3 linked regions of the Daphnia pulex genome follow. The protein of the gene in region 3 purifies or fractionates together with the protein of the main gene of each other region. This does not show direct contact. Links are inferred from orthologs where the notes say so. Each region holds a gene or a part of one and is shown on either strand. Other genes may lie near its edges.

Region 1 (5,662 bases), on a different chromosome or scaffold from region 3:
AATTTTATCATGGACCTGGAACTAAATATGGTATTAGACCAGAACTGTAGATTGAATCTTCCTTTAAGAAACGTCCTACATTTGTCTTTTGTTTAAATTTTCCAATTCTGAAATCCAGAAATTTCTCTTCACATATTTTTTCTGTTTGTTTTTTCCCTCCGTCGTGTTGAAGGGGGGGAAATCCGGCGTTTGTATACAAAAAGTTCGACAATCCCACAGTCCACTCGATCGTGAAAGCGAAGTGACTAACCGCAATAAGGGATGGGAAGGGAGAAACCGTATCAATAACATCATTAACGGGCTCTATTCTATGGACAACATGTTTATGGTAGGGAAGCTCTTATTTCTATTCTCAACGGGACCAGCAGATAAGTATAGTACGGGCCTATTATACTTCAGTGCAACTACACGGATAGTTTACAAAGTACAAACAAAAATTAGAGGGGCATGTCGTCTTTGTTACGGTCGTGAGAACTTTTTTCCGTTCCGGACGAAAATAATAAAAGATTGATATTTTGTTCTGACTAAACTCTTTTAACTCTTAAACAAGTTTTGACCTTAGGCGAAATAATTTCAGCCGCGTTACTTATCCCGCCTTGAAAGTCCATTAAATTACAATTATCGTGATGCTCATGTCTACGATTTAACCGGTTGGGGATCGAGGTGCAAGTTGATTCAGCCGTGGAAGAGATTGTGGTCGAAGAAAAAAAAAACAAACAAAATATTCTCAAAAACATTTCCAATGCGATTCGCTGACTGCTAAGAGGATAATAAGAACCAAACAGACTTCCGTAATTGAGTACAGCTGTGCAAACAAATTTGTTCCAACTGTTGGGCGCGCCGTTGCCGGATGTAGGAAGACAACACAATTTACCAAATCGACTTTTTCATAGGAGGAAAAAAGCAGTTAGAAACAGCTACATTCCGGTTGTGAGAAATTTCTACCCTCCCCCTGATAAAAATTTGCTGTTCCTTTCTTTGTGTTTATAACACCGAGGCGAAACCGTATCTCCCGCCTTTCACATGTCACTTGTAAACCGGAATGAAAGTGTTCTGACTTGTCATGTCCCGCTACACACACTTCTATTGAGTTTCCAACAAACAGATCCAACTAGTTTTTTTTTAAGGCTTATCCGGTTTCTCCTCCAGCAGCCATTGACTTTAAAAAGAAAGCATTACTACTCGGATTACTGGAAAACGTCAGATGGCAACATAAACTTGCGGTTGGGTAACTTTTTAAATTGATAGATAAAATAATAATAAGACTTTTCATTTCAAATGAAAAAGAAATGTAGTAGAAACAACTGAAGGACAAATGCCATTGTCAGGTGATATTGTATCGTCTTGCAGGATTCCATCGAAAAAGGGAAAATTTACGGAATACGTGTGGCATTTACGCTATTGACTCATCAGCAACAGCTCGGGCGAAAGCAAAATCTGAATCACGAGCACAAAGTTGAGTTGATAAAAAAAAAAGAGTGGACGTTCTTCAACGTTAAATAAATCATGATTGTCTTATTTAACGCGAAGAAGATGATGAACTGCGACTGTAACGGCGATTGTTGCCACCTGAACGGCGATTGGGTGAACGAGACCTGGAACGGGCAGGTGGAGGTGGTCTCCTATCTCTGTCCCTTCGTGGAGGAGATCGTCGACGTAGGGGAGAACGTCTTCGGAATCTGTAGAAATGAACACAACAGATGCAAATAACCGGAATAAAGATTTACTTTAGTAGTATATTACCTTGGTGGAGATCGACCACCACCCATGCCCCAACGGCCCGGTCGATTTCTGGGTGGTGAATTCCGTCGAGGTGGTGGTGGACGGTTTTTAGGGATCAGCACAGGGGCGGCTGTGATTTCTTGTCCATCAATTTGGCCTAGAGATTATTTGAGATTAAAAACGTATTTATAGCAGTAACCAACAAACGTTACTTTACCTCCGTCCATATGCTTCATTGCATTTTCTGCTTCGTCGGCAGTACTGAACTCGATGTAAGCAAAGCCCCGGTGGAGGTGACTTAACCCAGCACGTTCGTTGGGAAACTCGACAGCTTTGATGGTTCCGTAAACGGAGAAAATTTCGTTAATGTGTTCCTTGTTGACATTGCGCGTCAGTCGGCCGATGTGGATTCGAAGTGGCTTGGGTGTAGGTGAACGATCGCGACGACGCCTCCGGGGAGATGTAGAGCGGGATCGTTTGTTTTCTTTGTTTCTGTCTTTGTCAACATTCTTTTCTCCATCCAGTTTTGTTTTCTCTTCATCAGGTTTGCTATCAACTTTTGGCTTATCACTCGCTGGGGCTCTGTACGTCAACAAAAATGCTGTTATCACAAGAAACTTGTTTACCGTCATCCAACTAGAATAATTACCTCTTTTTCTGGTGCTTCTTTAATGAACCGCTGGAACGTGAGGAACCTGATGAATCAGAAGAGCTAGATGAACTAGATGATGATCTAGAGTCTGAAGAAGAACTGCTGGATGATCGTGAACTAGAGCTGCTGCTACTGCTGCTGCTGGACGATCTAGAACTGAAATGTCACATTAAGCTGAAGGTTTCATTAAACACAACAAAGTTTAACACTACCTTCTGCTTGAAGAACTATCACTGCTTGAAGCTCTGCCTTTTTTCTTCCCAGAATCTTTGGTATCCTTTTTGTCTTTGCTAGCATCTTTTGATTTACTGGAATCTTCGCCGGCTTTCCGGTCTTTTCGATCGCCAGTTTCTTTGTCCGGCCTAAGTGATTTACACAAATTTAAAATATTGTTAATTTAGATTCATCGTAAAAATTTACTAAATTATTAAATGATGCTGAGGATTTAACTCGATTTACTCACATTTTCAGAAAGTTTTATTGAAAAACATACGAGTTGATAAAGGGGAGGAGCGTTAAAAACAGACGCTTAATGCCACTTGCACAACGTTGCCTGTATTAAATAGATTCTCGTTTTTATTTTTATGAATGTAAAGTTATAGTTTTTTAATTGGAACAAGTTATGTGAATTTTTTAAAGATTAAATCAAAGATTATTTAATTTTTTATTATTAAAATGTTAAACTAGTTGTACGACAGCCGACGGCAACGAAAAAATGTTTCGGCAATGATTGTTTTTGGGCTGTTGCCGAAACTCTACAAGGCCGTCAGTACGTATAGCAACCACTTGAAAACACTGGCCAAGTGGCAAAAGAAATGGCAGACAGGAGAAAGAGCAGGTAATCCCTTGCATGACTGTTTAAAAATATTATAAGCTTCCGGTCGTCACAATAATATTATGATGCTGTTTCAAATTTTAGCGGGCCACATTCGGCGGAAATAGCGGTCGTAAGAGAAATCTATGACGGTGAAAACGCCCAGGAAAGATTTGAGCTAGAACTAGAACGAGCTCTGGAAGCTGCTGTTCCAGTAATTGTCATTGAGCCAGTTCGACTAGGCGATGAAACGGCGCGATGGATCGCCGTTGGAAATTGTCTTCACAAGACAGCAGTACTTGCTGGACTTGGTTCGGTCATAACAGGTAAATTGTTGCTAGTATTCAGTTGTTGCATTATATAAGTCTAATTTTGTTAAATTTCCTGTTTAGGATTTTTCTGTGATAATCGTCCATACATATACACTCCATTAGGTCTCCTTTCCTTGCTGTGTACAGGACTGTACACAGCATCTTGGCAATTTGATCCTTGCTGTAAATACCAGGTAGAATACATACACTTGACTAAGTTGGCAAAGGTCATAGCAGATATCGGTTTTGCTTCAGGTTGAAATGGATACAAAAAGACTGGCCAAATTACCAGTTAATAGGTTGACCACTTCCAGTCCCATAGTTCTCGTAAGAAGAGATGATAACAAACGGAAGACTCTTCATTGCACCATCTGTGTTACAGCAGCTAGCATTACCCTTTGGAAGCTGTACTTTATTGCCTTCAAGTAGTCTTGTTATAAAGAAAACTTCCCAAATGTACAAACTGAACAATACATCCTTATTATATCAGAATGTATTAGAGATTCTCTACTAGAAATTAACGACTTTTTTTGCTCTTGGCCGCTCGACGCGCCATAAGTTTGAAATAAACGTTGGGTAGAATTGCACGAAGAAATACTGCTAAACGATAAAAGAGTGAGCAGAGCATCAGCTCTTGGGTTTTTTCCTTAATTGCAATGACAATTTCATATGCAGCTTGGAGTGGATCCGCTCCCGACTCCGTAGTTTCATCCGTCTGTCCATATTTGTCTCCTCGGCCCGTCAGCGCGTTCAGAGACAAACTTGTGCGGATGTATCCGGGGTTAATGACTGTCACATCAATCTTGTGACGATGGATTTCCGCTCGCAGACTGTCGCTAAATGCCTGAAGTGCATGTTTGGAAGCAGCATAGGCCGATCTGGAATCGACATAGACGATAAAAATTAAATATTAATGTATTCAAAAACATGATAAAACTTACCGAAACGGAATTGCCAGTTTTGATTGAAGTGATCCAATCATCACGATATGGCCACTTTGTCGTATTATCATTGAAGGAAGAATAGCTAAGTTACAATTAAATCAGAAACCCGATTTTTAAAAGATCACATTTGACGGTATTTACCTTTAGTCAATCCAATTGTTCCGAAGTAGTTAATGTTCATTACTTTGGCATCCACTTCCAGGGAAGTATCAGTTACTTCTCCTCTGTAACTGATTCCAGCGTTGTTCACAAGTATATCGACATATCCGTAGACCCCGAGAATAGTTCTTACTTTGTCCGCTAAATTGTTTAGGTCTTGAAGATCTAGTTCAATGATTACAGGTGGATAGATGGTGCCTTTTCTCAAGCCAGAACCCAGTAACTGTTCTTTCACACGATCAAGTTCAGTGTATCGCCTGGACGCGATAATCAACTTGCATCCTTCTGTGTACAAGCACTTTGCCAGGGCTTCGCCGAGACCAGAGCTGGCACCCGTGATGAGAACAACTTTACCTTCGAGACTGGAATCATGTCTCGAAATTCTTTGCTTTATAGCGAAAAATGCTTCAACCAATCTTCCTATTATTGTTAATGGTAAGAAAAGCAAACAGGCAATACAATTCAACCATTTTTTGGCCCAATTCAGCAATAGATTGCCTTTAAATGGCAGCCTCAGAATCTGTGCATCAGGTCCAGTTTTGCTGGGTGACTCTAATGAACCTAAAATAAAAACAAGAAAAAAATAACACATTTAAGTTACTTCACAACAACACAAATAAGTTATTTCTTAATTATTATTCATTCACAGAAGTTTTGTTTCAAATAATAGTTGCTAAATTTGCAATCATTAAGTGACAGGAAAAGAACTGTCAATTGGTTTTTGACACGGAAAGTGAAGTGTGAATAAACTAATTAGTAACTAATAACACTGCATGTAAGAACTGTCATTGAGCACATTTAGTGGCTGACAACTTGCTCTTAATAGTTTTGCCTGATATTAAAAGTTAATGACACTTACCCAGTGGTATATTGCCATCTGTAGTGGTGGTCGTTTCGGAGGCTTTTCCCACAGACGAAGTTTTCATAATCTATTGTTTTGTAATTAGTAGTTTTAGGCAAAACTCTTAAATGCATTTTTTTAACGTTGAAAAAAGGCGATTACTTACAGAGGTGGCTTCCTACAATGAATGGAAACACGACTTTCACCCTACGTGCCCGT
Region 2 (6,397 bases), on a different chromosome or scaffold from region 3:
GGGTAATACTTAACGTATCTATTACCGTAATAGATACGTTTATCACGTAGACCCAAACTTCGTATTGGGTTAGCTAAAAAAATCTCTTTCGGAGGTTTGGTAGTCAGTTCAGAGAACTTAACCAAATTAGACTGAAATGGTTCAACTTTTGTGGCAATCGAGACTATATTTAATCTGTCCGCTTGGTTAACTTTACTCAGTGGTCAACATTTTATTTTTAAAAGGATCGGGAACTAGTTTGATGTAGGGAATATGGAAGTTTCTACTTCGGTCTTCAAACATTTCATCCACATGTAGTCGACTAGTCGAGAAAGGCGATTATAAAGAAACGAAATTACATTGTATTATAACGGAGAACGCAGCTACAACGGACGCCTTTATAATAACGTTTTTATGACACTATAATGTGATACACCCACTTCAATCGCTGTCAGCCACATCGCTGGACTCTGGTTCACTTTCCATTTCTTCTTCCTCGCTTTCTTCTTTTTCAACCTTTTTCTTGTCAGTCTTCTTGCTGGAGCCCTTGGACTTCTTCTTGGCGCCTTCAGACGCTGAGGAGGATTCTTCGTCGGTGCTGATGTATTCCTTACTTTTGAAGTCGCCAGGAGATTTAACTGGAGTTGTTTTAGCAGCTTTGGTTGGCGTTTTAGTTGGCGTTTTGGTTGACGACTTGCTAGAGGACTTGGACGACTTGGCGGCTTTCTCCTCTTTGTCCTTGCTTTTGGAAGAACTGCTAGCAACTGCCGATCCTCCTCCAGACGCAGTATATTCTTTCATAGCCTTATCATAGGCCTCTTTAGCAACTTTAGCTTTGGCTTCCCATATAGATCGATCTTCAACCTTCTGCCACATTTCGCCACCTTTTTTCATCAGATCTGTGACACTTATGCCAGGGTTATCTTTTTTAATCTGTTCGCGTGAGTCGTTCAACCACAGCATGTACGACGACTGTGGTCGTTTGGGCCTGTTTGCATCCTTATCCTTCTTGGATTTGTGCGATCTGGGAGTTTTAGGGGCCTACAACAAAATTAATAAACGATAAAAACTTTAATTCTGAAATTATTGGCAAATTGAAAGATGATATTACCGCCGATTTCGAGCTACTGGATTTCTTGGGTTCCTTTTCCTTTTTCTCCTTCTCCTCTTTTTTGTCCTTCTTTTTCTTCTTTTTGGACGAGGAATCGGAATCACTGCCAGAACCACTGCCAGCCTTGGCAGCACTACTAGCCTTCGCAGCACTACTAGCCTTGGCTCCACCTGATGCGTCGGATGCTTCCGAGTCGGTCGTAGCCACATTGGAGTCGTATTCTTCTGCTACGTCACTTTCCTCACCAGGTTTGAAGTCTTCGTCATTTTCATCAGAATCTCCACCCGAATCGTCACCTGCAACTGGCACATGTTAGTGGAAAGGCTTTTGTTTCGTTAAGCAAGGAAAACGTACCAACTGCGTCACGCTGTTTGCCTTCAGCCTTGACACGAGCCAAATATGCGTCGGGCGCTTCCTCTTCGTCCGAATCGCCAAAATCATCCCCATGAGCGGACTTGTCCTATTACGTACAACAAAAACTGATTAGTACAAACACTATCAATGGGTTGCTAGATCTTACGGATCGGCCAGTATTTTTGACGCGGAGCTTCTTGTTGTTTACGAAATCGTACAAGCGGTTATATTCCTCCTTTTCAATGCTACTGAAGGTGTGAACAACCCCATTTTTGGTCTCAACTTCGAAGTCAAAAGAACGGGTACTTCCTCCGCCACGAGCAAAGTTAACACTTGCAATTTCTTCGAATCTGTGCGAAGGAAGAATAAATTAAAAAATATGCAAACAAAAATTTCAGGGAAACGAATTCTACCGAATGTGAATAGGAGGTTTATGAACGTAAATAAAACCACGTTCTAGCGGATACAAGTATCCGGCTGCTGCTTTGTAGGAACATCCAACAGCGGGGGTTCCAGAATGGCTATAAATAATTAAAAAAGAAGGAAACTGTGAAATCAGTCTAGAACACTTGAAATGAAAATATAAAATTTTACCCAGTAAAATTTCCAGGTATAGTGACCTTTCGGTTAACCATGGCCTTCATGACGGTACTCATAACTTCATAAGTTGGACCATTACAATCACGAGAAAGTCGGCCTTCAAACTTTTCTTTCAATTCCTCCCTGTTAGGACAAACGTTTTTTGATGACGTGTTGAAAATGTTGAATTATTCAAAATTACTCACTCTGATAATGGTATTTCAAAAGATGTCTCCTCATCTTTGTTAAAGAGAAGGACCAAAAAGTGGTAACGCGTCTGACCTTGCTTAATAGGTGGATCAAGGCTTACCTGAATTACACAATAAAAATATGTAGATTAATGATGATTCTTTTCTTAATTTCTTTTTCAGAGATGTGTAACTTACTACAAAGAAAATTTGCCGACCATCTTTGTGCGGAAGTAAAAACAGGCGAAGTACAGTAGAGGCTGGAATCTTGTAGTCAAATGTCTTACCATGAAGTTGAAAGAATGATTGGAAAACTTTGATGTCATAGCGACCTCTGTCAAGGATAAAAACTAAATGAGCAAATGTTTTAAGTACAAATGATAGAAAATACCTTGGTGTGAGGCACTGAACTTCTCTGAAGATGGCAATTGCATCACCAGTAGCACTGATGACACTTGCTTTAGGCATCACCTGCTTCTGGAATGCTTCAACAGCATCATCTCCACCTTGATCATTGGACTGAATGAAGAGACGCATCTCCATCAGACTGACTGATGCATCATCATTCTAGTTTTAGAGAAAATAAAGCAGTAGGTAAGATGTCTGCAGCATTGTTTGTCATAATAGTACCCACCTGATGGAATTCTAAGGTGACTTCATTTTTCCCTGTTGTGCATTGGGACACATTGCTTAGAGGAATCTCAAAGGCAGTATGGTTTCCAACTTCAAAAGACATAGTTGAACCACTGAACTCAGCACGGCCCCAATTCCATCCTTTGACACTCAGCTCTTTCTCCAGCATGTCTTTTTTGTAGGTTTGAGTAAAAAACTTTGCCAGCTTGTCTTGATCCTAGACAAAACCAAATTAATAGGAAATTGAAAATAAAAAAGCTTTCAAATGTTAAAAAATTACTTACTGAATCTTTAAATCCACCATAGCGATGAAGTGCTCCGGTTCTGAGAAATACACGTAGTCCCCAAGCACCAGCTAGTCGCTGCCAGTTAACCAATTCAATGTCAGAAGAACTTATCTGTTCAACTTTACCCGTTTTGGAATTCTTGAACACGATACTCTGATCCGTTAGTTTTAGACGGCCTGGAGTCTAGAAGAAAAAATTTTGTCAATAGAAGAAGATTCACGTGCAGCCGATATGACAATTTAGCGAGCCTCTTACCATTGAGCCTTTAATTTCAGCTGAAACATCAGAGAACTCTAAAAAATCCATCACACAACGAAAAAATTGTAATCCCGATTGGCGAAATGAATAAAAATCCAACTAGACGAGCTGGAAAGCAAGAGAATAATCGTAACAATGTAAAACACCAGCAGTCGGTTATTTTACTTCGCGCCGAGCGGAGAAGTATAAGGAATGGCCATAAAGCGTTGCCAGTGAAACTCGTTTGGGCAACGCTAGATTTTAAAGATATTTGATACCGTATTTGAACATTTGAAATAAATCATAGTTTAATAGAAAAATTATTTTTAAGTAGAAATTTAAACTGGGGAAGAGGATTTTTCGTTGATTGGATTGGATAGGATTTCAGGATTGTGGAATGTGGATTCTACAATGTTGAGACTCCAGATGGCACTCACTACCATAGATTTTCTAGAGCTTTACATGATCAAAAGATCAAAAAGTGGTCAAGAGGGATCGACCGTATTCTTCTAGTGTTATCCGAAGTACTGTCAGCCGCAAGGCGGATTGTCAAGTTGCATTTACTATTGTAGAAAATAGTATATCCACGTGTTAAAAAATTGGAATTTGGATCTGAATGTTTTCTCGCTGGCCCTCTCAAATTAGTTGACTATATTTTTAAGATTTAAAATGGTTTTCTATTTCGTCAGCACCGCCGTTCAACCCAGTTGCGCACTTTTCATGGGAGAAGAAAAACATGAAAGTAAGAAGTAATCAATCAGTAAGATATAAAATGGGATTATTAATCCTTGTAGTAACAACTAGATGAGGAGTTGATCAAGTGGGGATGGCCTGAAGATGTTTGGTTCCACGTTGACAAGCTATCGTCAGCCCATGTTTACATACGACTAAACAAGGTAAGGGTTTTTTTTATTAAATCAAATAAAACAATTTTTAATACAGCTCTGTTACTATTCTTATTTGTAGGGTCAAGTAATTGATGATATTCCAGCAGCCATTTTAGAAGATGCAGCACAATTATGTAAAGCGAACAGCATCCAAGGGAATAAAATGAACAACATTGATGTTGTTTACACCCTGTGGTCTAATTTGAAAAAGACTCCTGGTATGGAAGTTGGACAAGTTGGATTTCACAAAGAAAAAGATGTACAGATTTCCTTCTTAATGTGTTCCTATCCATTATCTAACAATCAAGTTTTATAGGTTCGCAAGATTAGGGTGGAGAAAAGAATTAATGAAATTGTAAACCGTCTCAACAAAACCAAAGTTGAGAAAAAACCTGATTTAAGGTTTGAAAGAGAACAGAGAGACTGTGCAGAAAGAGACGACAAGAAAAGGCTCCTTAAAGAACAAAAAGAAAGGGAGAGAGAAGAAGAAAAGCGAAAAAAGGATGAAGCTGAACTAAGGTGACCTTGATTTACTAAACACTATATTTATTTTTTTACACAGAAATGTTAATTTTTACATGTTTAGGAGCTACGATCGCTTGCTGAAGCAAACGAACATGAAGACCAATAAAGATGATGATGGAAACGATTCCGATGACTTCATGTAAGAAATCGCTTACGTTAACAACCAGCCGAGTGTATGCGAACTCGATCACAAACCGATCAGCCTTTTCGTATGAAGTATATGTGCTATTAAAATATTCCTCGCACTTGACTCGAGTTTTCTCTTGGTCAATAAAAATGTGGAAATAAAACATAATTTCTTAATATATTTTAATATAGGGAGATTATAAGTATAGCTATGATTAATTCCAGATGACCAATTTTCAGATCTTGACATTTTGTTTACATTAGCCAAAGGTTATGATGACGAGCAGATCTCTCTAAGTCATCAAATGCCCATCGATAGTTATTGTTTACCACTGAAATATTGTTTCGAAACCACACTGAGCACCAGAGTCGCGCAACACAGGAAGTGATTCTCACCCCCAAAAAGATTGGCAACTTCCGTCTGAAAGCGGAAGAAAATGGGTGTAAACCAAGACTTCTGGTTTTCATTCAGGAAATCAAACAGAAATTTTTATTTAATTTTATTAGTCGGAAGCGAAACCAGGATCTCTAAGGAATACGGATTTCCTCTCACATTTATTTCCTTCCTACTGCGACGTCAGAATCTGTTGGACGGGTAGTTGACCTCAAAAGTGAAACCGAGACATCAAGTTTAAAACGTTCGAGACGGAATTCAGTCTTCAAGTGGATACCGTCGTGTATGCTGAGTGCTTTCGTCCACTCCGTCTCGACTAGAGTAGAGCGCAATGCCGAATTCCGTGTTAACGTTCAAGTCTCTGCTGATGTTTTGGCTGATGTGTTCTATGGGCTCTGACTGCGCCCCAGTACTTTCTAAACCAATTAACGCCACTAGAAAAATTCCCCAGTCTTCTAGCCTAAAAGCAGCTGCTCCAGCCGTCGTCACCACCGCCCAGCCTCCGCTTTCATCCCTGTCCGTGAGCACCAAACCATCAGCGTCAATCCATCCTCAAAACTTGTCCTCTCCGGAATCGATTCGGAACGTTTCACCCACGGAAAATCATAACGTTGCATCCCCAAGAAATGTTGAAGGAGCGACTGTAAACGTAGTTGTAAGTGTCCCGTTCGTTTTATTATGTAACCAACAAAACAATCGAAAAATTTAAAGTTCGTATTTAATCTTAATCCTTTCATTTTTTGGTAAGATGGGGTTTCTGCAAAAATTTGGTTACCTAGAAGGCCGCCAGGATTCCAACTCGGAAGCCTTGTACAGAGAAGAAGCCGTGATTGATGCAATCAGAACCATGCAGAGTTTCGGGGGTCTCTCGCCAACTGGAAGGATGGACAACGACACCTTACAAGTAAATTTGTTGCCCTCTGAAACCGTTCGTGAACTTGTTTCCCGTTCATTTTCCGCTTAACGAAAATTTGGTAACATTGTAATCTGAACCTATCATTAACGTAATAAAGCTGCTGGTGACTCCTCGTTGCGGTAACAAAGACGTGGAATTGGATAATAGCGAACAGCAGTCAAACAGACGGCGAAGGAAAAGG
Region 3 (4,267 bases):
ACAGCTTTTCCTTTAGTTGATGGATGAGATGACGCTGGTGGAGGGTTTACACCTCGTAGCTCTTTACGTTCGGCAAAGTCTCGTCGGCCACGGTTCGATGGTCGACGGGGTCGTCCGATGTCATTTGAATGTGGAGATGACTCCCATTCACTAGAACTGGACGAACCGGAGGAGGCACGAGCTCGTCCTCCATGGGCTTTCGTGGGAGGGGCAGAGCTATTGTTCTTAGTCGCAGGGCGCATCTTGGAAAGAGATCTGGAACGTGAACGGGACGAAGAACTTGACCAGTCCCTATGTGTACCACGACAATATGCAAAACGTCACATTGAACTGACATATGCCTAGCAATGTAAGCTATTTATTTACCTATTTCGAACTTGAGGTGACCTCTCATGGATGTTCCGCTGCTTATCTGTGGGCTTCCGTGAGGATTGGGGGTGCGGGGGCGATAACGGGATGGGAGCGGATGAAGATGTTTTATGTTTGGCAACAGGAAGTGAAGAGACGGTCTTATGGTTCCCTTTAACCCGCTGGTCTCCGACTTTTGCCTTCCGTCCTTGCCGTCGTTTTACATTCATTGATTTAGATTTTGAAGTGGAACGTGAGCTAGCACTGGAACGACTGGAACGACTGCTTGAGCTCGAGTATGAACTCGAACTTGAGCTCGATGTCGACGACGATGTTGAAAAAGATGACCCAGACGAATAGCTACGTCGTCTAGAACCTTTAGCTCCAGCCGAATTTCCTCCGGCGCCAACGACTGCACTTGAAGATGGACCACCACCAGCAGCACCTCCGCCTCCAGCACCACCAGGAGATCTTGATCTCATCCACGGATCCCACCATTCATCACTACGTCCACGCTGAGCTGGAGGCACAACTTCCACGTATCTATATTGAACAATTTAAAAGGTTCAATAAAGGATTTTGTTTTGGTTCTACAGACGCAGTCACATTGCATCAATTAAAACTGACCTCTCATCAGACCATCTTTTTTCGTGAGGGGGAGGAAGTTGAGGTTGGGATTTACTGGCAGATGGATGGATATCTCGTTCACTTGGTTTTGGACCGTAGTAGTGCGGACGCTCATATCCTTCCGGATGATAGTATTCCCTTTCTCTATACTCTGATTCTGGTGGGTAAGGTCGCCGGCCTTCGTACGGATAAGGGTAACCAGGTGGGGGGTGGCGGTGAGGAGGCGGGTAGCGTGACGGAGGCCATCGCCCTTCAGCTGATGGAGGTAAAAATTTATGGTATGGTTCTGTATCTGGCTCTTCAAATCTAGAGGAGTAAAAAAATTAACAGATCCTATTTAACTCTTAAACAGATTTTAATGCAGTGCGATTTAACTTACGGAGGAGGGACGTCTCCATGTAAAACTGGACTAGCAGGTCGAGTGTAGTAGTCATTCTCTTTGTCCAATTCTTCCTCACCTAAACCTAAATTTAGTTTTTTTTCTTCGAAGTCAATGTCAGTTTCTTTACGATGACTGGACTTTTTGAGCATCTGTAAAGAAAACGTTTATTATGAACCCATAGCAATAAACTTAAATAATCACGGCATTGTCTCATACCTCTTTGGCTTGTCTCAGTCCTCTTTCCCAAGGTGATTCAGCACCGGTTGCATCAGTCCGAGGTGGCTCGGCCGGCTACAATTCAGAAATGAAGTTTCTCAAATAACGAAAATTGACTTAGCTGAAAGTAAGTAACCGTGTACCTGTGGATGTCGTGGAGGTCGAGGATTAGCGACCCTTGGCTGAGAATTTGCCCACTCTGCTGGCGGGATGAGTGGAACCACCGGTGGTCGATCAAAAGGTCTTTCGTAGGGTGCTGAAGGCCCGTTATGGGCAGATGGACGTGCAGGAGCAAACATATTGTAATTTCCCTTGTCTAATACTCCAGGATGAACAAATCTGTAAAACAATATCAATACTTTTTCTTTCAAAAAAAGAAAAATACTAGTTCTTACCTGCAATTATTACCCCAAGTACAATTGCCTTTACTGTAAAATCTACAAACAGGCCTAGGTTCCATGCGTGCATGTTTGCCAACATCTTCTTCGCTGCTAACTTCACCTTCTTCCAACTCTTCACCTTCCTCTAGTTCTTCTTCACTTGCTTCCTTTTCTCTCTGTGGCTTCTCTCCATCACATTCTCCATCTTCGTCATCTTTTTCAGGCTTTCTGTCTTCAATCGGCTTTTTGGGCTCTTCTTCAAGATTATCTTCTTCAAAGTCTAATTCAGTGTCTTTAATCAATGGATCCAAAATTTGAGGAGATTTTTTACTAGATGAATCTTTGCAGTTTTCGTTAGCTTCCATTTCATCATCTGATACCATTTCAAGACTATCCTCATCTTCTTTGCTTGAATCTGAAGCCATTAACTCTTGTTTATGTTCATCCAGCAAGCCACCTGATTGGGCATTTTCATCAAGCCCAATCACTTCTCCACTATCAGATTTTCTATCAATTTCATCTACGTTTGAACTCAGACGACTGGATTCAGCGGCTTGGTCCTGATCAACCATGGAGTTGCTGCTAATGCTGCTTCGGCTTTCCGGACGCGAATTCGTATACAACTGTCCTTCGATTATGCTTGAACTGGTTCCAGACAAGTCAGGATCCGGGCTTGCTGGAGCACTTAAACCGCTTTGACTCATTCTTTTACTAATATACGTTAAACAACAGTGGTAACCATCAATTACTAACTTTAGCCAACAAACTGGGAAAAACTACCAAAAATCCAAACAACCTGGCTTGCAACTAAGCCGCCATGACAGCCCCGTTTTTTGTCGGCTGTTTATAATATATGATGCCAATTAAATTTTGAACATTTCAATACATTTATCATCTATTCTATAGTCAGACGCAAACTATTTGAAAGTATTTAAATTTTTTTAACTATTTTTTTTAGATTTGGTTCACTCAAAGAGTTGAAACTGGAAAATAATAAGGTACTAAATTTTTTTATTTTTGGCAACGCTGAAACAATTGTGCGCGCACAAAAGAAAGGTTTGAAATCATGCGGATAGCGGATTTGCGCTTTTATCATTAGCCATTTAAGTTGAGTCAATACTCAACGAAAGAGTTTTCTGCTTTCGTCAACATGAGTTATCATTTATTTTTTAAGTTTCGGTGGACGGGTTCAAAACTTCCAATGTTCAATCAATCGTAGAGTTATCTGACCTGAAAATATTGACAAAAACAAGACTGATAAGTTTTTGATCTATCGTAGCCTTTTGATTACGAAACATAATTTTCGTTTAGTCACTTGATTCGTTTTCGTTTAGTCATTGGCCCATTGCATGTTTAGCTCCATGCTTAACCTCTCTCAAACATTTTACATTCTTTTTTAAGCAAAACATTTAAAATTCATATTATTGAATGTCTCGATTAATTACCGTTTTAGCAATAATTGCTTGGACCTTTTCAACTTCAACTTTTCAACTGCCACCACCCTGCCCCAGGCAAGAAAATTTCTGTAATCTAACAATGAAATTGCTTAATTACCAGAATTACGTTTTAATTTTAGCGAAATTTATTGCTATGGACCCCTGCTGCATGCTGTCCAAAACGCGGAGTTATACAAAGATTCCAAAACTTTTGTGGATAAAAAATTGCGTTTTAATCCAGAAATAGTCTTAACTAGTTTCTCACAGTTCATGACCGACACTGAAAACCAGCCAACCAAAGAAGAATTACAGGCATTTGTTGACAGCAATTTTGAAGCTGAAGGATTGGAATTCCAGAATTGGGATCCATCGGACTGGATCAGTGATCCTCCATTTCTATCTCAAATTAATAATTCAGAGTTCCGCAATTGGGGGAATCGTCTTCATGAAGGATGGAAATCTCTCGGGCGACAGATAAAAGGTGATGGTCTAAAAAGAAACATTATGGTTTTATTGATTTCCTTAAATTGCAGTCCAGTTTTCTTTCCGCCAGATAAGAGAATCATATTTTAAATTTCTATTCTTTGCTGGTGTTCTCTCTTTCACTGCTTGGACTATGGGCTCTGTGTTGTAATTCTAGACGACGTTCGTGATAATCCTGATTTATACTCCATTGTATATGTTCCGAATCCATTTATTGTTCCCGGTGGAAGATTCAGAGAATCCTATTACTGGGATTCTTATTGGATCGTAAAAGGTCTTCTTATCTCTCAAATGAATCAAACAGTATGTATAAAAACATTTTAAATATTTCTGACATGAATGGGCTAAAGAACGAATTTTAAACTGAAATGTATTTAGGTCAGAGGAATGTTAGA

What was found. Proteins that work in one complex are often made in the same cells at the same time.
Region 1: the proteins of zinc finger CCCH domain-containing protein 18-like (region 3) and RNA-binding protein with serine-rich domain 1-B-like purify together in Homo sapiens (affinity purification with mass spectrometry; 3 studies listed by BioGRID and IntAct, with this or other methods). This does not show direct contact. The link is inferred for Daphnia pulex from reciprocal best matches to the Homo sapiens genes ZC3H18 and RNPS1.
Region 2: the proteins of zinc finger CCCH domain-containing protein 18-like (region 3) and FACT complex subunit Ssrp1-like purify together in Homo sapiens (affinity purification with mass spectrometry; 3 studies listed by BioGRID and IntAct, with this or other methods). This does not show direct contact. The link is inferred for Daphnia pulex from reciprocal best matches to the Homo sapiens genes ZC3H18 and SSRP1.

What each region holds. Positions count from the first base shown.
Region 1 is NC_060025.1:2,683,891-2,689,552, forward strand, and holds RNA-binding protein with serine-rich domain 1-B-like, read right to left. Parts: upstream 2,922-5,662; 5' UTR 2,840-2,921; coding exon 2,838-2,839; intron 2,737-2,837; coding exon 2,587-2,736; intron 2,531-2,586; coding exon 2,372-2,530; intron 2,305-2,371; coding exon 1,940-2,304; intron 1,880-1,939; coding exon 1,744-1,879; intron 1,680-1,743; coding exon 1,520-1,679; 3' UTR 1,306-1,519; downstream 1-1,305. Other genes in the region: transmembrane protein 11, mitochondrial-like, read left to right, coding at 3,190-3,212, 3,294-3,514, 3,581-3,693, 3,755-3,928; dehydrogenase/reductase SDR family protein 7-like, read right to left, coding at 4,017-4,377, 4,441-4,525, 4,585-5,163, 5,462-5,528. UniProt on the Homo sapiens protein: Part of pre- and post-splicing multiprotein mRNP complexes. Auxiliary component of the splicing-dependent multiprotein exon junction complex (EJC) deposited at splice junction on mRNAs.
Region 2 is NC_060026.1:11,628,247-11,634,643, forward strand, and holds FACT complex subunit Ssrp1-like, read right to left. Parts: upstream 3,606-6,397; 5' UTR 3,438-3,605; coding exon 3,387-3,437; intron 3,315-3,386; coding exon 3,129-3,314; intron 3,062-3,128; coding exon 2,846-3,061; intron 2,779-2,845; coding exon 2,603-2,778; intron 2,546-2,602; coding exon 2,410-2,545; intron 2,334-2,409; coding exon 2,230-2,333; intron 2,168-2,229; coding exon 2,039-2,167; intron 1,966-2,038; coding exon 1,858-1,965; intron 1,795-1,857; coding exon 1,611-1,794; intron 1,551-1,610; coding exon 1,445-1,550; intron 1,393-1,444; coding exon 1,091-1,392; intron 1,021-1,090; coding exon 421-1,020; 3' UTR 319-420; downstream 1-318. Other genes in the region: coiled-coil domain-containing protein 25-like, read left to right, coding at 4,038-4,110, 4,173-4,264, 4,335-4,514, 4,572-4,774, 4,842-4,923; matrix metalloproteinase-2-like, read left to right, coding at 5,632-5,955, 6,049-6,204, 6,314-6,397. UniProt on the Homo sapiens protein: Component of the FACT complex, a general chromatin factor that acts to reorganize nucleosomes. The FACT complex is involved in multiple processes that require DNA as a template such as mRNA elongation, DNA replication and DNA repair.
Region 3 is NC_060020.1:4,875,861-4,880,127, reverse strand, and holds the start of zinc finger CCCH domain-containing protein 18-like, read right to left. Parts: upstream 2,801-4,267; 5' UTR 2,658-2,800; coding exon 1,969-2,657; intron 1,913-1,968; coding exon 1,717-1,912; intron 1,649-1,716; coding exon 1,574-1,648; intron 1,507-1,573; coding exon 1,355-1,506; intron 1,282-1,354; coding exon 976-1,281; intron 892-975; coding exon 367-891; intron 292-366; coding exon 1-291. Other genes in the region: trehalase-like, read left to right, coding at 3,382-3,464, 3,530-3,870, 4,030-4,175, 4,251-4,267.